3 linked regions of the Struthio camelus genome follow. The protein of the gene in region 1 binds, or shares a complex with, the protein of each later gene. Links are inferred from orthologs where the notes say so. Each region holds a gene or a part of one and is shown in the gene's direction. Other genes may lie near its edges.

Region 1 (7,341 bases):
TTCTAAGGATTAGCAGAAATTGAGCTAAAAACTTTCTAACCTATGAATAAAGAGGTATTGCGATGATATGCTGATCAGCTCATTATAACATTAATAGGATATGAGTTACTAGTAAGATGCTTACCCTGTTAACAATTCATTAAATCTGGTTAACCGTTATCTTGATAATACACAAATAAAAGAATCACAATTACTGCTTCAGAATAGGGCTGATAATGCAGATCTAACCGGAAAACGTAATTTTTATGTTTTATTAGCAACTACCTTTGTGCCCCTATTTATATTTGTTATTGGGAACCACCTTTGTGCCCAGGGTAAGTGTCTTACTGACAGCTTTTATCCTATTCATTTTATAATGAGCTGGTCAGCGTATCATCATGACACCTCTTTATTCATAGGTTAGAAAATTTAGATCATTCTCTTGTTTGGGGAAGGCAGAAGGATACAACAAGATCTTACCTTAGCTTACCATAGCTATAAAAAATGTCTATCCCTTTTTCTAGTGACATGAGACTTTAAGTCAGTGCAAAGAGAAAAAGGAATAAGCAGCTATTCAGCAAGGCAGCAATTTTTAAGAGAGAAAAGATCTTATGTATATTTTTATAAAGGCTTTCCCTTGGCGTTTCTCAAAGAAAAATTGTAATAGCTATTCCTCAAAATGTCAGGTAGGCTCTTTTGTCATCATTGATGTCCTCATGCTGCTCCTCTGCCGCTGCAGAACGTGGGGTCGGTCTGTTTTGGAGCGCACAAGGAGAGCAGCTGGGACACATGGCTGGAGGGACGCGCTTGCCTGTCTTTGGAGGAAGGGATCACGGAACGCTGTCAAAGGATGCTTCACGTTGATCCCTGCCTCAGAGCTTAGGCTAACCACACTGCCCCATGTGCCAGTTTGTCCAAAAGTGCCTGTTTATGGCTATGAATATGACAGTAAGATGCAATTTGGAAAGGCAGCCATGACTCCACCTCTCGTTTCAGGATGATCATCCTGAACTTTGAAAGAAAGTGTAACAGCTCTGTCATGCTGATGGCCTAAGTTTTTCTATGTCATGCAAAAGGGAAAACTAGTCAATTGTGGCTCCTTCCGGTTGCCCTAACAATGGGACTCGAAACGCTGAGCAGCTACACAGGCAGCACTGGGTATCACCAAACAGCACTGATGCGTGACCTACAGCTACTGGAGCGTCTGGTTTCTAGCTTGGTTCCCCTAAGCGAGAGAGGCAGGAAAACACGGGCAGCACCACGCTTGCTTCCCGGACGCAGGGAGACAACGTGGCCTGGTTAGCACACGGCCTGTCCGAGATGGCCTTTGCTCGTTCTGATACTAGCAAAGGTAGTGCAGCCACTGTGATGTAGCTTGAATTCCTGAAGAATTCAAGAAGTCGTAAAGAAGCTGTAGAAGTTGTAAAGCCATTTTACCTGTGATGTGAAGTACGGTGACATTTCTAGCAACAGGCCGACACAACCAACAGTTTTTGTGAGTCACCCAGACAGATACAGGAAAAGTCCCAGGAAATTCACCAGTCACATTAATCAGGGAGTGAAACCGCTGCTCTGATTTCTCAATGAGAATCAGAGGAGCATAAATCCAGTTAAAATGATAAAAGTGTGAGGCCATTCTGTCATTCTTCATACTTAGACTGGCACGAACAGTAGCTTGAGCTCCTGTTGTGATGGGACCGTTGTTGGTTATTTCCAGATCATACTCCTCTGCAAAAATCAGAAGAAAAATCTCTTTGTTTTGCAATTTTTATTTCTTCACATTCTCACTGGTCAGCTGTAGTTACGTGATTCACGATGATACTAATGCCAGCTAAGACTTTGCCACCTTTTTTACCATGTAAAAGGCTAGAACTGAAACTGTTACGCACATATATATTTGAATTCAAACAGGTAGCATTAAAGAACATCTAGGAATTGGTCCTAGAAATGTTAATAGTAAGGGGTAGCCTAAACAAAAAATGTTAATTTGAACATCCAAAAAACTTTGAGGAGGCTTTATAGCTAGAGCTGGGCTATAATCTAACATTATGTTCATTAGCAATCTAACACCATACTCACTAAACTTCCATCCACTTGAAAAGCTTCAGGTTCAAATCTAATCCGTGTTGTTTCAATTCTCACTCAAAACAGAATGGAAAAGTCACGTGCTGAAAAGGATTTGTATGGCAGAGGAAGATCCTTTGCAAAGGAAAAGGCAGGCCAGGCCAACCTTGCTGAAATAGGCTAACTTTCAGTGTGCAGGCATCTGCAGATGTAGGTGCATGCTCACTAGAGTTTTCAAAAATATTTCGGCGCCTTATACCTGTTTCTACTGTTTGGCATTAAGCGTCCATTCTGAAAATTGCATTAAACATGAAAATAACTTAAACACAACAAAATAAAAGCAGTTGGTGCACTTCCACTTTTTTTTTTTCTTTTTAAGACCAGGGCTGTAGTGAGGAAGTCAAAGGTGAGGACACTGCAAAATTCTCTGCAGTTACAGAAAGGACAAATTACCAACTTGCTTAAAGAAATCTCTCACTGGGCAAAGCCTTGGACTAAAAATGAACTTTCAGGCCCAAGCAGGATTTCATGCAGTAGTTTCCTTTATCAGCTCTGCTGACACACAGGTACCCTGGTACCCTCCACCTTCTGCCCAAGTATGGAAACTCAGTACCAGCTACTTATCTATGGTCTACTGTTAACGTCCCTTTCTAGGAAAGGGCCAAAGATTTCAGTATAAATGAAACTTGTGCATTTGAAGCTGTAGCTGCTACCAACATCCTAGTGTTTGATCAGTTCAGCCCTCAAGGGCAAAAAAAAAAGGGTTCTTACTTCATGGCTTTCACAACTGGAACAGCGAGGTGCAAGGGGGTGCCAAACTCGTGACCTTGAAAAACAGCCCTGCTGCTCTGCCTTGCTCCCCCTTCTCTTCCCTGCTGCATTTACACAAGCTACTTACTTACGCTCTTACAACTACTACATCGGGCAGAGCTGGGCAAGGTTTGGTTTTACGGAAAGGATACTAAATTCAGTTTTAACCGGGGGTTACATCCCCAGGTTTCAGTGCTGGGAAAGCACTGCTGCACTTATTTTGTGGGTTAAGAAATGGCAGTGCGACATTAAATGACTTGCACATGTTGGAACAACAAAACCAAATGCAACAACCATGGAGGGCTGGGAACTGGGAGAGCTGGGAACAGACTGTTTTTTGCCTCCCCCGCGGCGTACCCATCCTCCTCCCAGCAGTGTCTGGCTAGTTATCACCTCGCAGGAGCCCAACAAAGCAACGCTGAGCAGAGCGCTGCACTGCTGGGGCTCATCACGCCGGGGACTCGGCAGAACCTCTGAACTGCAGAAGTTGCACTTCTCGCCCACCTGGGGCCTCTAATGCAGCGCTCGGGCCGGAGGGAGCGCTGGGGTCAGCTAGCCCCTGCATGCCTTTCGCGTCCCCCTCCGAGCCGGGGTGGTAAGAAAAGAGACCTCAAACATCTCATTAGGCCCCTAATTTCACTCCACAGATCCCAGGTGCTAAGCAACATTGGATGCAAAAGGATGGAGGAAAAATAACCGCAGCATTGCTTTCTGAGTGAGAACTTCACCGTTCCCACTTCGTAACATGAGAAAGGCCCCGGGTTCACAAATTTTGAGCCAACAGAGAAGCGCGGGTGATTGAATGAAGTCTGACACAGGGAGCTTTCAGGTCTCCAGAAGACTCAGGCTACCCTCCGCTTTGTTTGAACAAAGCTCGGACAAACGGCCAGCGGCCTTGGGCTAACCCAGCAGCTTCTCCCCAGAGGCGGTCAAGGCACTCCAGGCCAGCCGGGGCCAGGCTGGAGCCCCGCGGCTGCCGCGGCTGGACAGCAGGCAGCTAACGCAAGGTCGGGCCGTGAGTCAGCGAGGGCTCGTCCAGCCCTCGGCGGTCCTGCGGCTCCCCAGCCCCTTGCCGCAGCACAGCCGGGGGCTGCGCGGGCAGCAGGAGCCTTTTGGAGGGGGCCGGGAGGCGCAGGAGGCAGGCGCGGCACCGGGCACCTGCCGCCGCCGCCGCCGGGGGGGGTGGGGGGTCCGCCCGCTCCGCCTTACCTGCGGCCGAGCCGGGGCGGCGGAGCAGCAGGGCCAGGCAGCTCAGCCGCAGGATGCCGGCGGCGGCCATGGGCAGGCACCGCCGCCGCTGCGCCACCTCCGTCCGCGCCGCCGGCCGCTTCCAGCCTGCGGCGCCCGGCCCGGCCCTGGCGGGGACAGCCCCCATCCCCGCCCCGAGGCCCGCCGCCAACGTGACGGGCTCCGCGCAAGCCGCCAAGGCTTTTTTTTTTTTTTTTTTTTTTTCCCCCCTCAAAAACACCTCAAACCAGCCCAAACCCTGCCCCGCGGCGAGGGGGCAGTCCCGCTCCCGGCCGACAAGGCGGCGGGTTTCCGCGGCGCAGCTGAGGTACCGCCCGCGGCTGCGGGGCTCCGCCGCTGCCCTCCGCGGCTCCCCGCGCCGCCCCGGTGACCCCTCGCCCGCCGGAGGGAGGGAGGGAGGGAGGGCGGCGGCGGGGCCGGTGCCGGGCGAAGCCGCCCGCGCGGGGCCGGGGGAGGCGCGGGGACCGCGGCCCCGCCCCGGGCCGGGGGGCGGTGGCGGCGGCGGTGGCGGCGGCCGGAACTGGGCTCGGGCGCTTCCGTTGCGCCCATGCGCCTCCGCCGGCCTCCGCGCCGGGAGCAACAAAGGAGGGGGCCCGGGGCCGGGGCCGGGGCCGGCCGGGCGCGGGGTGAGGAGCGGCGGCGGCGGTGGCGGCGCCTCGGCGCGGCCTAGGCCCGGGCCGGCGCTGAGGTGAGGTGAGGCCCGGCCTGGTCCGCGGGCGGAACCGGCGCGCCGCGGGCAGCGGCGGCAGCAGGAGGAGGAGGAGGAGGAGGAAGGAGGGGGCCGGCGGCGGCGTTAAGGCCGTTCTGGGGCGGGCGCGATGGCGGCGGCAGGTGCGGGCCGCGCCGGGGGTCCGCTGGGGCCTGGGGCGCCTTTCCGCCGCCCCGAGCGCCAGCCCTTACGGATCAGCCAAACTAAGCGTGACAGCTGCCATGTCGGAGGAGATGCGTCCCCGTCTAACAAACCCGAGCCGCGGCTGCGGGGGCAGCGCGTCAGCTGCTGTTTGCCGGTCGCATGAACTTGAAGAGGTGTTTTGTGTTTCTTGCAGGTGTGCTGGTGTCGGCTGTGAGCGCTGAAAGCAGCCGGCCCCGCCGCCCCCGGCATGGCGTTCGTCACCGCGCAAGGGCCCACCGTGGTGGACCAAACCACTCTGATGAAAAAATACCTGCAGTTCGTGGCCGCTCTCACAGATGTCAACACACGTAAGATGCGCTTTTTTCCCTCTTTTCTTTTTTTTTCCTTTTGTGCTGCGGGTTGCCGTGTTTCCGTCGTTTGCTTCACAGACAGGGGCGGCGTTGGCTAGACTAGCGGGGATAAAGGCGTGCTGGATTCGCTTTGGATTTGGTTTGAGTTTTGATTTTTGAAGAAGCAAAGTGATGAGTAATATTTGCATGAGCCGAAGCGAGAGAGCTGTGTGCGTGTGCCGTTGTATGACAGAGGGATGTTTGTGAGAATCGTGTGCCTTCTACCTGGGCGGTGATAGCTGGACTGATAAGATCTGATTGCTTCTTTGATCGGTGGAGCTGGTGTCCCTTCTACGATGTAGTTTTACATTTAATTTCTTTTGCTTCAATTTCCGTTTTCAGCCGATGAAACCAAATTGAAAATGATGCAAGAAGTCAGTGAGAATTTTGAGGTAAACTTAAAAAAAAAATTGCTTCCTGAACGATAGTCCTTCTTTTGCCTAATGTATGTCAGCTTGATTTCTGATGTTATGTGTAAAGCTTAATATTGTGTCTTATGATTTATCTTGTAAGTCACCAATGTTAGGATTATATTTATGTATGGAAATCTTCATTTTTTATTATGTTTCTGTCTTGTTTGGAATTAGCAAGATTATTGAAGAATTATGACTTCTGGGCTTGGAGATCTCTAATCTTTTCTCGATAAATGTTTAAATAAAGGTGATGTGATAGATTTTTTTTTTCTTCCATTTTGGCTAACTATCTGAAACCTATGTATTTGGAACTTTCTTTTATTTAATTCAAATATATATTTGGTCCTCATGAAGTAGAAGACTAGATAGGCCTTCGCAGATTTTTCTGCATAGTTTCATAGCACAGAAGTGAGGGGGCAGTTGTCCAATGTGGAATCTGACATTAGAAGTGAAGACAGTTCCAGTGACCTCTTTTGCATCGTAATAGACCATCAAGTTTAGATCAGCAGCAATGAAGTTAAACTAACTATGTGTTCATGGGAATTGTACTTTTATTGAGTACTGAGTTACTATGTGTCTATTTTGAAATTACAGAGAACTTGTTATTTTGTAATGTAAGTTTAAGGTCTCTGAATCACTGTAATTCTCTGTATCTAGTTTCTTAGTTATACTGCTTTGAAAATGTGCTTGTGAGAACAATGCCCTGCTGTAACACACTCTGTTTTATAAACTTCATTTGAAGTGATCTCTGTTAGTCTGAGATGCTGACACAAAAATACCCATTCCAGTGCTGTTTAATGTCTTCAAATATTTTTCTGTCAGCTTTGCGCAAAGTTACGTCCAACAGGTTGCTGCATTCCAGTGCTGTTTGTGCAAGGTTGTACCAATTTCAGTTGTTCCTGTGCTATTAATGGAATTTCCTGTCCAGTGAATTGTTTGATTTAGTTCAGGTTAACACAGAGGAATGCAATTTGAGCTAGTGTAACTGTATGATAAAGAGAATTAAAAGGCGAAATTCTTGTTTAGCTTGTGTGAGCAAATAAGTAGACATCTGTGATCTGCGTCCATATGTCAGGGTGGGCAGAGCTTAAGTGACTGTCTAAAATGTCCTTTTGGAGTTTCAGTATATGTTTGCTTCAAAGATGGCACGCCAGCCTAATTTGATATCTGACTAAAAGAGTAGCTATAATGGCTTTATCTAGTGATCTCGCTGAAATCTGAAAGCTGAGCTGGTTCTCTTTGCCCTTGCCATCAGTAGGGAAGAACTTGTTCAGTATTTCTTTTGATAATGTTCAAGATAGAGTATTTTTCTTCTCTTGGAACTTGCTTGGTTCTGTAACGTGACCCTACGTATAAAGAGGATGAATTGACTTATGCTTAAGCACAGTTTCGTTTGTATGGAACTACGAGGGAGCAAGAGGAATGGCTAATATAGTGGTGGTGGTTTTTTTATTTTTGATTTTTTTGGAAGAGTGCAGAAGTTACTGTTGCCGATCATTCTGCTAGCTCTTAGATGGACTCCTTTCATCTTGTGTTTCCATAGTGTCCATTTTAACTTTTCTCTGTCACCTACTTCCATTTCCAT
Region 2 (7,321 bases), on another chromosome or scaffold:
TCCCAAAGGGCCCAGGCGTCCGGGCTACCCAAGAAGGGGCCCAGGCGTCCGGTCCCTGACTTAACGTGCGCCCCAGTCCCAAAGGGCCCAGGCGTCCGGGCTACCCGAGAAGGGGCCCAGGCATCCAGGCTACCCGAGAAGGGGCCCAGGCGTCCAGGCTACCCGAGAAGGGGCCCAGGCGTCCAGGCTACCCGAGAAGGGCCCAGGCATCCGGTCCCTAACTTAACACGCGCCCCAAACCCTGAAGGGCCCAGGTGTCCGGGCTACCTGAGAAGGGGCCCAGGCGTCCGGTCCCTGACTTAACATGCGCCCCAGTCCCAAAGGGCCCAGGTGTCCGGGCTACCCGAGAAGGGCCCAGGTATCCGGTCCCCGACTTAACATGTGCCCCAACCCTGAAGGGCCCAGGCGTCCGGGCTGCCCAAGAAAGGGCCCAGGCATCCGGGCTACCCGAGAAGGGGCCCAGGCATCCAGGCTACCCAAGAGAGGCCCAGGCGTCCGGTCCCTAACTTAACGCGCGCCCCAAACCCTGAAGGGCCCAGGCATCCGGGTTACCCGAGAAGGGACCCAGGCGCCCGGGCTACCCGAGAAGGGGCCCAGGCGTCCGGGCAACCCGCGCGACGTCACTCTCGAGCACCAACTCGGCCTCGGAGCGGCCGCCGCGTCCCGTTCTCCGTCCCTCTCCCCCGAAGGGCCCAGGCATCCGAGCTCGCAAAGGGGCCCAGGCGTCCGGCTCGCAAAGGGGCCCAGGCGTCCGGCTCACCTGTGCACGTTGCGCTCGGGCGCCAGCTCGGCCTCGTAGTAGCCGTCGCGGCAGTCCTTGCCCACCAGCTCGTGGGGGTGCGGCCGGTGCGGCGCCTCCTTCGTCACCAGCGACACCCGCACTCGCCCCGGGCCCCGGTAGTTGTTGATCTGCGCCAAGGGCCCAGGCGTCCGGGGAGGGGCCCAGGCGTCCGGGAACCCCCCTCTGCCCCCGTGTTCCCAACCCGGGCGTTAGAACCGCTAAGAGGGACCCAGGCGTCCGGGCAGAGCCCAACCTCCGCGCTCAGCTACGGTGGGTGGGAAGGGGGGCCCAGGAGTCCGGGGAGGGGCCCAGGTGTCCGGAAAGGGGCCCAGGCGTCCGGGTGGCACTCAGGTGTACAGGGGGGCTCAGCTGTCCGGCGGGGCCCAGGTGTCCGGGGAGGGACCCAAGTGTCCAGGGGAGTCTAAGCCCCCAGCCCCAACCGCTGGGGGGCTACTGGGAGACCCTGGAGGAGCTACTGGGAGCATACTGGTGCGCACTGGTCTGTACTGGGGGCTCACCCGGATGGTGGGGTGGGTCTTGGTGGTGTCGCTGCTGTGCTCGCCGGGGCTGGGGGCCCAGGGGGGGCGCGGGGAGGGCGCTGGAGGGTTACTGGTGCGCACTGGTCTATACTGGTGCGCACTGGTCTATACTGGGGGCTCACCCGGATGGTGGGGTGGGTCTTGGTGGTGTCGCTGCTGTGCTCGCCGGGGATGCTGCCGGCCGAGCGGCCCTCGCACTTGTAGCGGAAGCGCATCCCCCGCTGCTTGGGCTGCTCGATGATCTCCACGAAGGGGGCGCCCCCCCCCGGCTCTGCAACGGGGCCCAGGCGTCCGGGAGAGCCCCCCCCCCCGCCCCCCCGGCTCTGCAACGGGGCCCAGGCGTCCGGGAGAGCCCCCCCACCCCCACCCCCCCCGCCCCCCCCCGGCTCTGCAACGGGGCCCAGGCGTCCGGGAGAGCCCCCCCCACCCCCACCCCCCCCGCCCCCCCGGCTCTGCAACGGGGCCCAGGCGTCCGGGAGAGCCCCCCCACCCCCACCCCCCCCGCCCCCCCCCGGCTCTGCAACGGGGCCCAGGCGTCCGGGAGAGCCCCCCCACCCCCACCCCCCCCGCCCCCCCCCGGCTCTGCAACGGGGCCCAGGCGTCCGGGAGAGCCCCCCCCACCCCCACCCCCCCGGCTCTGCAACGGGGCCCAGGCGTCCGGGAGAGCCCCCCCGCCCCCACCCCCCCCGGCTCTGCAACGGGGCCCAGGCGTCCGGGAGAGCCCCCCCCCACCCCCCCCGGCTCTGCAACGGGGCCCAGGCGTCCGGGAGAGCCCCCCCCCCACCAAGCGATCCAGGTGGCCGTGTGACCCCCCCCCCAAAAAAAGGGACCCAGGTGTTTGAGTGACCCCCCCCAAAGGGGCCCAGGCGCCCGGGTGACCCCCCCCCAAAAGGGGCCCCGGTGTCCAGGTGACCCCCCCCCAAAAGGGGCCCAGGCGTGCAGATGACCCCCCCCCAAAAGGGGCCCAGGCATCCGGGTGACCCCTCCCCCAAAGGGGCCCAGGTGTCCGAGTGACCCCAACACCCCCCCCAAAAGGGGCACCGGTGTCCAGGTGACCCCCCCAAAGGGGCCCAGGCGTCCGGGTGACCCCCCCCCCCAAAAGGGGCCCAGGTGTCCGGGTGACCCTCCCCAAAAGGGGCCCAGGTGTCCGGGTGACCCCCCCCCCCAAAGGGGCCCAGGCGTCCGGGTGACCCCCCCCCAAGGGGGCCCAGGCATCCGGGTAACCCCCCCCCAAAAGGGGCCCAGGTGTCCGAGTGACCCCCCCCCCCGACCCCGGACGCCTGGGCCCCCACTCACCCTGCAGGCCCCAGTCCTGCTGCAGGAGGAAGGGCAGCAGATCGGCTGCGGGGGGGAGGGGGGGGAGGGAGAGACGAGCGGGGGTGTCAGCGGGGGAGGGGAGCCCGGCCCGGACGCCGGGGCCCCCTCCCGCCCCCCCCCCAACCAGCTGCCGCGCCATGGGGGGGAAGGGAGGGAAGGAAAGCGGAGACGAAACCGGCTGCGCCTCTCTTCGAGGCTCTACGGCCGCGCCGCGCCGCTATTAGGCGCAGTGCGGGAAGGCCGCCGCCGCCGCCGCTACCGTAACGCACCGAAGGGGCGCGCACGCCGCGGCGTCACGTGACGGGGGGACCCCCCCCCCACCCCCACCGCGCGCGTTAACCCTGAAACCTACTGACGCCGCCGCCAGCGGGGGGAGAGTAGGGGGGATCCCCTGACGTCACCGCGGCTTGACGTCACCGGCGAGGCGGGGGGGGGGAACCACCGATTTCGGGGAGCCTCGACCCGCCCCCCCCCCCCCGGCGGAAGGGGGTGGGGGAGGGGCACTCACCGTTCTCCATCTTGGCCGGGCGGAGGGGTGGGGGGAGGGGTAGGGGGGTGGGGGGGGTCCCCGGTGCCGGTGGGGGCGGGGCGAGAGGGGGGTGGGCGGGGCCGCCGCGCCCGGGCGCGACCGTCCGGTCCCGCCGCCGCCGCCGCCGCCGCTTCGGGCCCCGCCGCTACCGCGTCGCCATTCGCGGAAGTGGCCCCGCCGCCCCACGTGACCCCCCGCTGCCGGGAAGGCCCCGCCCCCGGCCCCGCCCCCGGCCCGCTCCGCGTTCTGGCCCCGCCCCGTCCGGCCCCGCCCCTTCCGCCCCCTCCGCGCTCCGGCCCCGCCCCCATGCAAATGAGGGGGCGGGGCCGAGCGGCAGGGGCCGGCGGGCAGTTGCGGCCGGCGGAGGGAGGCGAAAAGAGGCGCAAAACCAGGCGGGGGGGGGGAACCCATAATGGGGGGGGGGGAACCCAAAAGGAGGGGGAACGGATGTGGGGGAACCGAAAACGGGGGGACCTATGGGGGGGACCCATAACGGGGGGGGGGACCCATAACGGGGGGGGACACATAACGGGGGACACATAACGGGGGGACCCATAACGGGGGGACCCATAACGGGGGGGGACCCATAACGGGGGGACCCATAATGGGGGGACACATAACGGGGGGACACATAACGGGGGGACACATAACGGGGGGGACCCATAACGGGGGGACCCATAATGGGGGGACCCATAACGGGGGGACACATAATGGGGGGGGACCCATAACGGGGGGACCCATAACGGCGTGGGACACATAACGGGGGGGGACCCATAACGGGGGGACCCATAATGGGGGGACCCATAACGGGGGGGGACCCATAACGGGGGGACCCATAACGGGGGGACACATAACGGGGGGACCCATAACGGGGGGACCCACAACGGGGGGGGACCCATAACGGGGGGACCCATAACGGCGTGGGACACATAACGGGGGGGACTCATAATGGGGGGGCCCATAACGGGGGGGACCCATTACGGGGGGACACATAACGGGGGGACCCATAATGGGGGGACACATAATGGGGGGACACATAATGGGGGGACCCATAACGGGGGGGGACCCATAGTGCGACCATAGAGTCTAGCGGGAGGACCGCGGGAAGGAGCGCCCGGCGAGCGAGCCCCACCCCCGGTCTCCCGCCGCGCGCATGCGCAGGCGCGGGGCGGGCGGCGAGCAAGCCGGAAGTGACGTCGGGGCGGGCAAGCGAGCGGAAGGCGGAAGCGCTGGGGCGGCGACCCGGAAGCGGTGCGCGGCGGGCCCCGGTTTGCGGCCGAGGATGGCGGAGGTGGTGAGCGGCGGCGGCGCGGGGCGGGGCGGGGCGGGGGCGGCGGAGGGGGGGGCGGCGGGACCCCGGGACCCCCCCGCCGTGACGCCGCGCCGCCCGCAGGGGGAGGTGTCCGAGGGCTGCCGCCTGCCCGTGCTGCGCCGCAACCAGGACAACGAGGATGAGTGGCGTGAGCGGGGGCGGGGCCGCCGCGCGAGGGGGCGGGGCCGCCGCGGGAGCGGGGCGCGGAAGGGCGGGGCCGGGCCGGGAGGGGAGTGGGCGGGGCCAGGCGGGGCACTGACGGGGCCGGGAGTGGGCGGGGCCGGGAGGGGAGTGGGCGGGGCCAGGCGGGGCAATCGCGGGGGCGTGGCCAGGAGGAAGGGTGGGAGGGGCCACCGCGCGGGGCGGGGGGACGACACGGAGGCCCAGCGGGGCGGAGGGGGCGTGGCCAGGAGGAGGAGTGGGCGGGGCTGCTGCGGGGCGGGGTGGGGCCAGGAGGAGGGGGCGGGGCCGGGCGGGGGAGCTGTCCCCCCTCCCCCGGGGTTCCCTATTTGGGGGGGGCAAGGGGATTTGGGGGGGGGCTCAGGGGGATTGGAGGGTCCCTGGGGGGGTTTTGGGGGCGTTTGGGGGATTTTGGGGACAGCGGGGGGGGGGACTTGAGACTGGGAGATATTTGGGGTCCCCCAGGGACGTTTTGGGGGGGGGGAAGGGAAATTTGGGAGAGGGGGTCTTGTGGGGGGGGTAATTGGGTAGGGGGGTGGCAATATCGGGGCGGGGGGAGCAACCTGCGTTGGCCTGAAGCGCTATTTCGGAGGGGGGAAAGGCAACCTTTGGGGTGGGGGGATTCGAGGGTGCCCCAATGAGGGGGTCACGGCCCGGGGGGCCCGGGGGAGGTGGGGGGGGGGAGGCGACCCCCTCTCCCCCCCTGCCGCCCCCTCCCCGCCGCCCCCCCCAGCGCTGGCCGAGATCCTGAGCGTGAAGGACATCAGCGGGCGCAAGCTCTTCTACGTCCACTACATCGACTGTGAGTTTTGGGGTGGGGGGGTGAACGCGGTGACACTGGGGGGGGACGGGGCCACCGAGGAGGGGACGGGGCCACCGCGGCGGGGACGGGGCCACCGAGGAGGGGACGGGGCCACCAAGAGGCCACGGGGCCCCCGAGAGCCTCGGGGCGAGAGCCGGGGCGACCGCAAGCCGGGCGGGCGGGCGTCCCGCCGCCGCGTCACCGCGTCCCCTCCCGCCGTCCCCAGTCAACAAGCGCCTGGACGAATGGGTCACCCACGACCGCCTGGACCTCAAGAAGATCCAGTTCCCCAAGAAGGAAGCCAAGACGCCCACCAAGAACGGCCTGCCCGGTTCCCGGCCCGGCTCGCCGGAGCGCGACGTGGTGAGGGGACGGGCGCCGCCGCTGGGGACGGCCCCGCCGCCGCTGGGGGTGGGGGGGGGACGCCCCCAGGTTGGGGGGGGTGGGCGGGTTCACTAGAGCTGTCGGGGACGTCCGACGGAGCCGGGAGAAGACACCTCGAGCCCCGGGGACGTTCTCGAAGTTGACTCGGGGACGAGTTCAGGGGCGCGTTTGGGGTCGGGGGACAGCGAGGACGTTCAGGGCACGTTCGGGGGACAGGAAGGCCACCTTGAGTGTCGGAAACGTCTGCGGGTCTAGAGAGGCCACGTAGATGAGTTGGGGACATCTAGAAGCTTTGGGGACACCTGCAGTCAGGGCCGTTTGTGGTCCTAGCGGGGACGCAGAGAGTTTAGGGACGCACGGAGCCCCGGGGACGTTTTTGCACCCGACGGTGACACCAGGAACCGTTGGGGACGCTTGGAGCTCCGCGGACGTCCCTTGCTCCTCGGTTGGGGGGACACCTAAAGCTGTTGGAGCTACTGGGAGCCGTTGGGGACGCTGGGAAGCGTAGGGGACGCAGGGCAGTCGCTGAGGACGGGGGAGCCAACAGGGACGTTGGGAGCCGCTGGGGACGTTGGGAGCCACTGGGGATGTTGGGAGTTGCTGGGGACGTTGGGAGTCGCTGGGGACGTTGGGAGCCACTGGGGACGTTGGGGGCCACTGGGGATGTTGGGAGCCAGTGGGGTCATTGGGAGCCACTGGGGACGTTAGGGGCCACTGGGGATGTTGGGAGCCAGTGGGGTCATTGGGAGCCACTGGGGACACCAGAGCTGTTGGGGACGCGGGAGCTGCTGCTTCCGGGGGAGCTACTGGGGACACTGGGAGCTGGTGGGAACACGGGAGCCAGTGGGCCTAGGCGAAGCGTTGGGGCCACCGGGAGCCATCGGGGGCCACCAGGAACCATCGGGGGCCACCGGGAGCCATCGGGGGCCACCAGGAACCATCGGGGGCCACTGGGAGCCATCAGGGGCCACCGGGAGCTGCTGGGGGCCACCAGGAACCATCGGGGCCATTGGAGGCACCGGGAAGCGTCGGGAACGCGGGAGCTCTCGGGGGACCGGGGAACCGCTGGGGCCACCGGGAGCCGCTGGGAGCCACCGGGAGCCGTGGGGGGACGCGGGGAGCATCGGGGACGAGGGACCGCCGGGGAGCCGGGACGCTTCGCTTTGCCGCGCCGGGAGGGCGGGAGGGGAAGCGGGTGGGAGGCTGCCGGCCGGCCCCGTTCCCCCGTCCCCCGCCCCCCGACCCCACGGCCCGGGCGGGTGCCAGCACCCACAGGGAGGGTGGAGGGTCCCTCACCGCCCCCCTTTCTGCTCCTCTTCCTCGCGCCGGCGCAGAGGAAGAGCCTGGACGCGGCGGCGCCGGCGGCTCCGGCCAGCGGCAAGAGCCTCCCGGTGCCGGTGCAGATCACGCTGCGCTTTAACCTGCCCAAGGAGAGGGAGCCCGGCCCCGGCCCCGGCGAGGCCGAACCGCCCCCGGC
Region 3 (7,711 bases), on another chromosome or scaffold:
TTCCAATTATCAGTCACTGGGTAAGGAACAGAAAAAGGGGCAGGGAAGGACAACAGTACCAGTCTTTCCATTCATTTATTGATGGGACTTTAGTATTATCACTGGTCAGCTAAGTCTCACAAAAGTTGTGTGTACAGACAACCAAAAATGACTACCCTTCTCCTCCTGAACCATTTATGAGCTGTAGGTTTCTCTGCTGTGTCCCTTATCATCATCATCCATACTGCTGTCTCCTCTGGGTGATGTTCTTGTAATGAGTTCTAGGCTAACAACAGTTTTTAGAAAAACAGAAAGAGAATTGCATTAATACTTGTGTCTTGAGACACCGTCTCCATGCCATAATCTATATAGTCTACCTATAAAGGGAAAAAAAAGAATGAATTAAGTATTTAAATACTAAAATGCTGAAAAGAACAGGTTAAGGGAACAGAGAGTCCTCCATTTTTCTGTATAGCTCCTACTTGCCTCTATGCTTTAGGGACACTAGAGAGCATTTGGCTATAACATTCAAGATCTTTTGATGCAATCCTTGATGGGTGAAATATACAGCATTTACTGGAGGTTGAGTCTGCCTTTCTCTACACCAACACCTATAATTACCAGTAACCCATTTACTAGGATTCTTATGTTAGCTGCTCTTTTATAGCATTTAAAACAGAAATAGGCGTGCTGTAGAATACAGAGGACATGCTGGGTAGATGAGGGGAGAGCAGTGGATGTTGTCTCCCTGGACTTCAGCAAGGCTTTTGACACTGTCTCCCATCACATCCTCCTAGGTAAGCTCAGGAAGTGTGGGCTAGATGAGTGCATAGTGAGGTGGACTGAGAACTAGCTGAATGGCAGAGCTCAGAGGGTTGTGGTGAATGGCACAGTCTAGTTGGAGGCCTGTAGCTAGCTGTGTCCCCCAGGGGTCAGTCCTGGGCCCGGTCTTGTTCAACTTATTCATCAATGACCTGGAGGAAGGGACAGAGTGCACCCTCAGCTAGTTTGCTGATGATACTAAACCGGGGGGAGTGGCTGACACAGCAGAAGGCTGTGCTGCCATTCAGAGGGACCCGGACAGGCTGGAGAGCTGGGCGGAGAGGAACCTCATGAAGTTCAACATAGGCAAGTGCAGGGTCCTGCACCTAGGCAGGAATAATCCCATGCACCAGTACAGGCTGGGGGTTGACCTGCTGGAAAGCAGCTCTGCTGAGAAGGACCTGGGAGTCCTGGTGGGCAACAAGTTAACCGTGAGGCAGCAATGTGCCCTTGTGGCCAAGAAGGCCAATGGTCTCCTGGGGTGCCTTAGGCAGAGTGTTGCCAGCAGGCCGAGGGAGGTGATCCTGCCCCTCTCCTCAGCCCTGGTGAGGCCTCACCTGGAGCACTGTGTCCAATTCTGGACTCCCCGGTACAAGACACACATGGCACTACTGGAGAGAGTCCAGCGAAGGGCTACCAGGATGATGAGGGGACTGGAGCATCTCTCCTGTGAAGAAAGGCTGCGAGAGCTGGGCCTGTTCAGCCTGGAGAAGAGAAGACAGAGGTGACCTGATCAATGTGTACAAGGATCTGAAGGGGGGGGTTGTCGAGAGGATGAGGCCAGTCTCTTCTCCATGGTGCCAAGTGACAGGGCAAGAGGCAACAGGCACAAACTGCAACACAGGAAGTTCCATCTGGACCTGAGGAAAAACTTTTTTCCTGTGAGGGTGACAGAGCACTGGAGCAGGTTGCCCAGAGAGGTGGTGGAGTCTCCTTCGCTGGAGATATTCAAAACCCACCTGGACGCGATCCTGGGAAATATGTTCTAGAGGACCCTGCTCGAGCAGGGGGGTTGGACTAGATGATTTCCAGAGGTCCCTTCCAACCTCGGCCATTCTGTGAGAAAGAATCCCAACCCTGAGGAATCACATATAGAAAATTACTTCCAATGGTAAACAAGAGACAGATAAGTGTGAAAAGATAAAGTATTTAGTAATGTATCCTGCACACTTACAATGTGCAAGTGGTAATGCATCTCGGTTGTTCTTGTAATTTTGTAAGGTTGCTTACCTGATGTGGTAGATATTGCCATATGGTATACTAGAGAGAGTGTCAGAACAAGGACATAAAGATTTCTAGACTTTTTTTTCTACTTTGGTATGCAACTGTAAACTACATTCCAGTTGTCCTAGAAAACTAGCAGGAGAAGAATATAGCCTGCTCTGATCCTTTATGTTAGCTGCTACTGCCCTTTGATAATTTAATCCATCTCTGATGTCACCATCTCTCTTTTTTCATCACTTTTCCTGGCACTGCAGCCCAACTTTGCACTATACTCCTGTTGAGATGCTGTGAAAGAAAGACTTGCAGTGACTCTGTCACCCTTGGGCTGTTTCCGCTGAATTCTAGCTGTTTACCTCAATAACCGATTTGAGCAGCTGTAGACTAACTCTCTGTTTTGGGGATCTGAACAGACTTCTATTCTAGATAGCTCTTTGGTATGTAGCTTATAGAATTTAATCGTGGCCAAAAACTAGCAATGTGCTTGACTGTAGCAGCGACAAATTCACAGGCACCACTGTGCTTGACAAAGCATTCTTGCATTGTAAGAAATGGGCCACACGACCTACAACATCAGTAAAATTGCAGCTACTTTAAGCATTATAATTTGGTCAGAATGGATGAAGTGGAAGTTAAAAGTTATAGAGAGGAAAAGGGCATTTTCTTTGCTTCTCTCCCTTGAATTTTGAGCGATGACCGAGAAAAGCTTTGAGAAGTATAGAAGGCTTGAGAACAAGAATAATTTAACAAAGATTAATTTTATAACTTCTCAGAGGAGCTAGGCCGTCCCTCCTAGCGATGTGTCCTTTTGAAGCGATTAGAGCCTCAGGAAGGGCTAGCTGTTGTAATTCCAACTCACCCTGCAGAAGGCTACTGCAGGTGAGAAGAGGACACAAGTAACTAGAACTGCAAATCCCTCAGTATAAGCAGTTTTCTAAAACTTTCAAGTTATTACACTACTATTTGAGGCCCATACATTAAGAACAAAATACCTATCTGATTTTGTTTTTTCTTTGAGCTTTTTGCAAAGAGTTTCTCTCATGTGGGAACATTCACAGATTTGGGGGCAGGGTAAGATATGGGACAGCATTTCAGTATTTTTCCCCATCATTTAGGACAGCTAGTGGACATGATTTACAGCTAATAACATGATTTACTTCACGTTACAGCAGTGCAAGTGATCACCACAAATCTGTAAATATAAGAAGCACTGACGCCCAACTTTAGGCAAACCTAAGTAAAGAATACTTTGTCTCTGACCTATTTCAAGCAATCCAGTCTCACAGAAAACTTGCAGCTCTTATTCTTACCAGTCTCCATCTTTGCAGTCTTAAGTCAGCTATCAGGACAGTAAATTCTAGACATTATTAAGGAACGCATTAGCAGGTGCCGAGTCTGATCCCACTGCAACACAACTCCAGTCTTTAATTGCACCCATTCCCAGTACATCAGAGCAAAACTCATCATACTGCAATAAGAAGCGTTATCATGCTAAACCTGATTCCTCTTTAAAAACGACCTGCCACGATTTGTCCGTCAGTATTGTTCCAGCCGTTCGGTAGCCTTGAGAAACAGCGCCTAGCAAAAGAAAATATTAAAAGGCGGGTTGCATTTTTACTTCAAGTGTATTTACTTCCTTTAGGATGGTTGCACAACGAGGTCAAAGTGCAGTTTCCTACTGTAAGAGCGGCGCTCACGAAGTCCCGCGTACCTGCAGCCCGCGCCCAGCGCGCCCCGCCGCCGCGGTTCCCCTTCAGCTGCTCTTGGCTCTTGCGCAGCTGTAACGCCTCGGCTTTCCCCGAAGGGTTAAGCGGCAGCGGGGGCGTTAACGCGCGCGGGCGCGCCGGGATGGCCCCAGCGCAGCAGCCCCCCGCCTGACGCTGTCGGGCTCCGAGCGGGGAGTGGACTATTTAAAATAGTAACCTCCCTCTTTCATTTTTTGTTTGTCCCCGGCGCCGAAAGCCGAGCTCCCCTCCCGGGCTTGCGCTCCGTCGGGGCTGGCCGCCAACCCCTCCGCGGCCCGGCCCGGCCCGCCGTGCTGAGTCAGGCTGCTCGGGCCGGGGGGGCGGGGAGGGGCGCCGGGCCCCCGCTGCGAGCCGCGGCTCCCGCCCCGCGCCCCGGCTACCTGCCGCCGGCACCCGGCGGCGGCGGGGGCGGCCCGGGCCGGCAGCGCTGCGGCTCCGCCTGCGGCGCAGCGAGGCGCGGGGGCCGCCGCCGCCGCCCCCCCTCCCCTCCCCTCCCGCCCGCCCGGCGGATCAGTTACACGCAGCTGGCACAGGTGTGCGGCGCCGGCGAGGGAGACCCGGGCGCAGGGAGCAGCGGGCAGACATGCAGCCATTTTGGGCCGAGGCAGACAAAGAGGCGCGGCCGCCGCCCCCCTCCTTCCCGCCTCTCCTCCCCCCGCCCCCCTCCGCGTCGCGCCTCGCCCCGTCGCGCCTCGGCCGGCCGGCCGCACCGCCCGCCCCCGCCCGCCACAGCCGCCGCGCCCCGCCACCGCGTCGCGGCCGGGCCGCTGCCGCCCGACTCCCAACTAAGAGCTCGCAGCCATTTGCCCTGCCTTTTATACCCGGCCGGCGGCCAATCAGCGGCGAGCGGAATCCCTCTCCGGCCGGTGATGTGAGGCGAGGCGGCTGCGCCTGCGCAGTAAGGGGGGCCGAGTGTGTGGGGGGGGGTGGGGGGAGGGAGGGAGGAGTGAAAGGGGAGGGGGGGGAGGAGGGAGCAGCTCACAGGAACCCTCCAAAAAAAAGATGGCGGCGGGCTCGGATCTGCTGGATGAGGTTTTCCTGAACACGGAGGTGGATGAGAAGGTGGTGAGCGACCTGGTGGGCTCCCTGGAGTCCCAGCTGGCGGCCTCCGGCCACCACCACCAGCACCACAAGGCGCAGGAGCCCCTGAGGGCCGCTGGGGGGCTGCTGGGGAACCATGTTGTGAGCAGCAGCAGTAGCAGCAGCAGCCCTAGCCCTAGCCCTGGAGGAGTAGTAGTAGGAGGCAATGCTAATGTCCAAACAGAGAGCAGCAGCAGCAGCAAGATGGGACTCAGTGCCCCAGAGATCACAAAAGCAGGTAACATGGGCAGGGGTGGGGGGCTCGGAGGGGAGAGGGGGCCTCCCCTCCCCCCACTGCCCGGCTCCGGCTGCCTCCTTCCCTCACTGCTTTTTTTCCCCCCCTTTTTCCCCTCTCTCCTCCGTCTTGTTGTGGCAGGAGCCGGAGTGCAAAGGGTGGTATCGATCATACGGGGGAGAGCCTCCCCTCATCATGCCCCCTCGGTGTGTATCCGTGCCTGTGCTCCCTCCCCTTTATTTTCCCTCCTCGCTCCTGCTTACTAGAGGATGTTTTATCATGTGTGGGGGCAGTATCCCTACATCATAACCCGTCAGTGCCTGCCTGTGACTCTGTCGGTCCCCCTCTTCTTTTTCTGCCCTTGTTGCTGGAGTGTAAAAGGCTCTATTAATCTTGGGGTTGAGGGAGGCAGAGCCCACCCCCTCGGTGCTGCCTGTCCCTCACATGCCATCTGTGACTGATCCCCTTCCTTTTCCAGGGGTGGAGGTTATGGGGGGGGATTCCCTCTTAATAACGCCTGCTTAGCTGTCTGTGTAAATGCTCCTTCCCCTCCCCCTTCGCTGTTGCTGAAGTGCAAGGGGGTGTTATTAATCATGACACCTATTTCCTGTATAGGAGGAAGCGAGGGGGGATTTCAAGGGGAGGAAGTCCCTCAAAATGCTTCCCCCCCCCATATCTGTCTGCCTGGATATGCCTCCCCCACCCCCTCCCTTGTTCCTGGGGCTTGGAGGGGGCATTCAACACCTCTCATTCCCCCTCTGCCCTCAAGGGGGTGTTGTCACAACATTAGGTCCCAGGAAGGGGGGGGAATTCAGGCCATAACACCCCACCTTGTACAATGTCTTCCCCCACCCCCCCGCCCCCCAGCATCTACCTGTGACTGTTCCCTCCCTTCATGTTGTGAAGGCTGTAGGGGGATGGTATTAATCACAGCCTTAAGGGTTCCCTCCATGAGAATGGAGGGAAGCTTTTTTTCAGGGGAATAAAAAAAAAAAATGTCTCCCCAGAATCTCTCTGCAATTCCTCCCCTCCCCCCCTTTTTGCTTTCTTTCTTTCTTCTTGCTGAAGTGTAAGAAGATATTACAGACCTTCTGTCATGATTAATGAAGCTCTTCTAGGAGGATCTCCTTAACCCTTATGAGATGCATCTCAGTATCTGTCTGTCACTATTCTTTCCCCATTTCTGTCTCCTTAGGGCCAGGACCCAGGCTGTCTGTGATTGTACTAGTGATAACACCAGGCCTCATCAAGGGGCGTGAGGATTATTCAGGACAAGAAGCTACATCACCTTATCCTTTCTCAAAATCAGCCTTGCTTTTTATTTATTTATTTTTAACCATCTCTGGCTGTGGGAACTTCAGAGCCAGAAGAATAAATTTTGTAATAAGGTGGAGAGGTCTTCTTATAACCTGCTCCAGACCTTATACTACTCCTTATCTTGGCCGGCTGGTGTTTTTCTTTTCCTTCACTTTTTTTGCATCTTGCTGTTGTTGAGCTTCCTGCTCTAACTGACTTAACGTTGTAGCAGATGAGAGGATTAGGGCGTAACTTGCTGGGCATAGGGAATGTGCCTTATTAATGTGTCTTCCAATGCTATTTTTTTTCCTCTTGTTGGTGCAGGCATGCTGCTAAACATAATATCAGGCTCTAGAATGGGGAAGAGGTCTAAAGAGAAGATCTCCTTCCTCCTTCCTTCCTTCACTTCATAGCAAATCTGTTTTCCCTGTTTTATCTTACTGTGGTGATGAAGGTGGGAGTGTTGCAATTAATATTGAATCCACCAGTCTCTAGTGGGAAACTGGAGGCTTCAAGATAACGTCTTTAAATCCTTCTTCAGTTTATACTCTGTTCCATTTTCTTGGCAGGCAGTTTGGGAGATGAAGAAGACTTGGTGGTGAGGGAGAACATTCTGTCTTCGTTGGATTTCTCCTGCTCGTTCTGTCTTTTTAACCTTGTTGTTGTTGTTGCAGGAGCAGGAGGAGTGCAAGGAGGCGTTATTAATCATAACACCAGGTCCCAGAGCTCAACTCTGGATGGAGGCACCACAACGAGCACCAGCACCACCACTGCAGCAGCAGGAGGATCTGAAGTTACTGCTGCTCCAGGGACCCTCAGTCAGGGCAAATCGGTGGTTATCAGCACGATGGCAACTGCCTTGTCCACCAGGAATGGCAAGATTGGGACCACAACAGTGCAAACTTTGAATGGGAGTAATGTGGTGATGAACTCTCACCACACAGGAAGTGCTGCTTTCTCCGGGACTCCTGTGACTGCTAACCCTGCTTCTGCACCTGCTGTTGCCCCTCTAGTTAACAATGGACCTGGATCTGTCGGAAAAGGAAATACTGTTAATGCTGTTTTGCCATCAGCTTCCAACACTGTCATCCAGACTTCTTTCCTTAATACTGCTGTGTCGTCTGCATCTTCTTCCTCACCCACAGTTATTTCCTCGCAGCCACCACCGAGCATTGGAAGTGGGGGGCCTACGGTAACGCTTGTGAGGCCACCAATTCACACAGCAGGACCCACAGTAGCTGCAGCTGGTGCAGCCACTCAAAATGGGAGCAATACTGTGATCAATTCAACCATCAGTGTGGGGAGTTTTCCTGCTGTTGCTACAGCCACTGTG

Evidence for each region. Proteins that work in one complex are often made in the same cells at the same time.
Region 2: TRRAP (region 1) and KAT5 share a complex: the UniProt entries of both Homo sapiens proteins name them as parts of the SWR1-like complex. The link is inferred for Struthio camelus from reciprocal best matches to the Homo sapiens genes TRRAP and KAT5.
Region 3: TRRAP (region 1) and TAF4 share a complex: the UniProt entries of both Homo sapiens proteins name them as parts of the TFTC-HAT complex. The link is inferred for Struthio camelus from reciprocal best matches to the Homo sapiens genes TRRAP and TAF4.

Annotation. Positions count from the first base shown.
Region 1 is NC_090956.1:8,614,599-8,621,939, reverse strand, and holds the start of TRRAP (transformation/transcription domain-associated protein), read left to right. Parts: upstream 1-4,339; 5' UTR 4,340-4,408; intron 4,409-4,598; exon of another isoform or gene 4,599-4,794; intron 4,795-5,147; 5' UTR 5,148-5,201; coding exon 5,202-5,301; intron 5,302-5,685; coding exon 5,686-5,735; intron 5,736-7,341. Other genes in the region: TMEM130 (transmembrane protein 130), read right to left, coding at 1,417-1,707, 4,063-4,228. UniProt on the Homo sapiens protein: Adapter protein, which is found in various multiprotein chromatin complexes with histone acetyltransferase activity (HAT), which gives a specific tag for epigenetic transcription activation.
Region 2 is NC_090976.1:906,683-914,003, forward strand, and holds the start of KAT5 (histone acetyltransferase KAT5), read left to right. Parts: upstream 1-4,311; 5' UTR 4,312-4,319; coding exon 4,320-4,460; intron 4,461-4,559; coding exon 4,560-4,626; intron 4,627-5,391; coding exon 5,392-5,460; intron 5,461-5,686; coding exon 5,687-5,823; intron 5,824-7,178; coding exon 7,179-7,321. Other genes in the region: RELA (transcription factor p65), read right to left, coding at 761-909, 1,443-1,591, 2,617-2,661, 3,146-3,155. UniProt on the Homo sapiens protein: Catalytic subunit of the NuA4 histone acetyltransferase complex, a multiprotein complex involved in transcriptional activation of select genes principally by acetylation of nucleosomal histones H2A and H4.
Region 3 is NC_090959.1:15,331,244-15,338,954, reverse strand, and holds the start of TAF4 (transcription initiation factor TFIID subunit 4), read left to right. Parts: upstream 1-4,701; 5' UTR 4,702-4,769; coding exon 4,770-5,085; intron 5,086-7,052; coding exon 7,053-7,711. UniProt on the Homo sapiens protein: The TFIID basal transcription factor complex plays a major role in the initiation of RNA polymerase II (Pol II)-dependent transcription.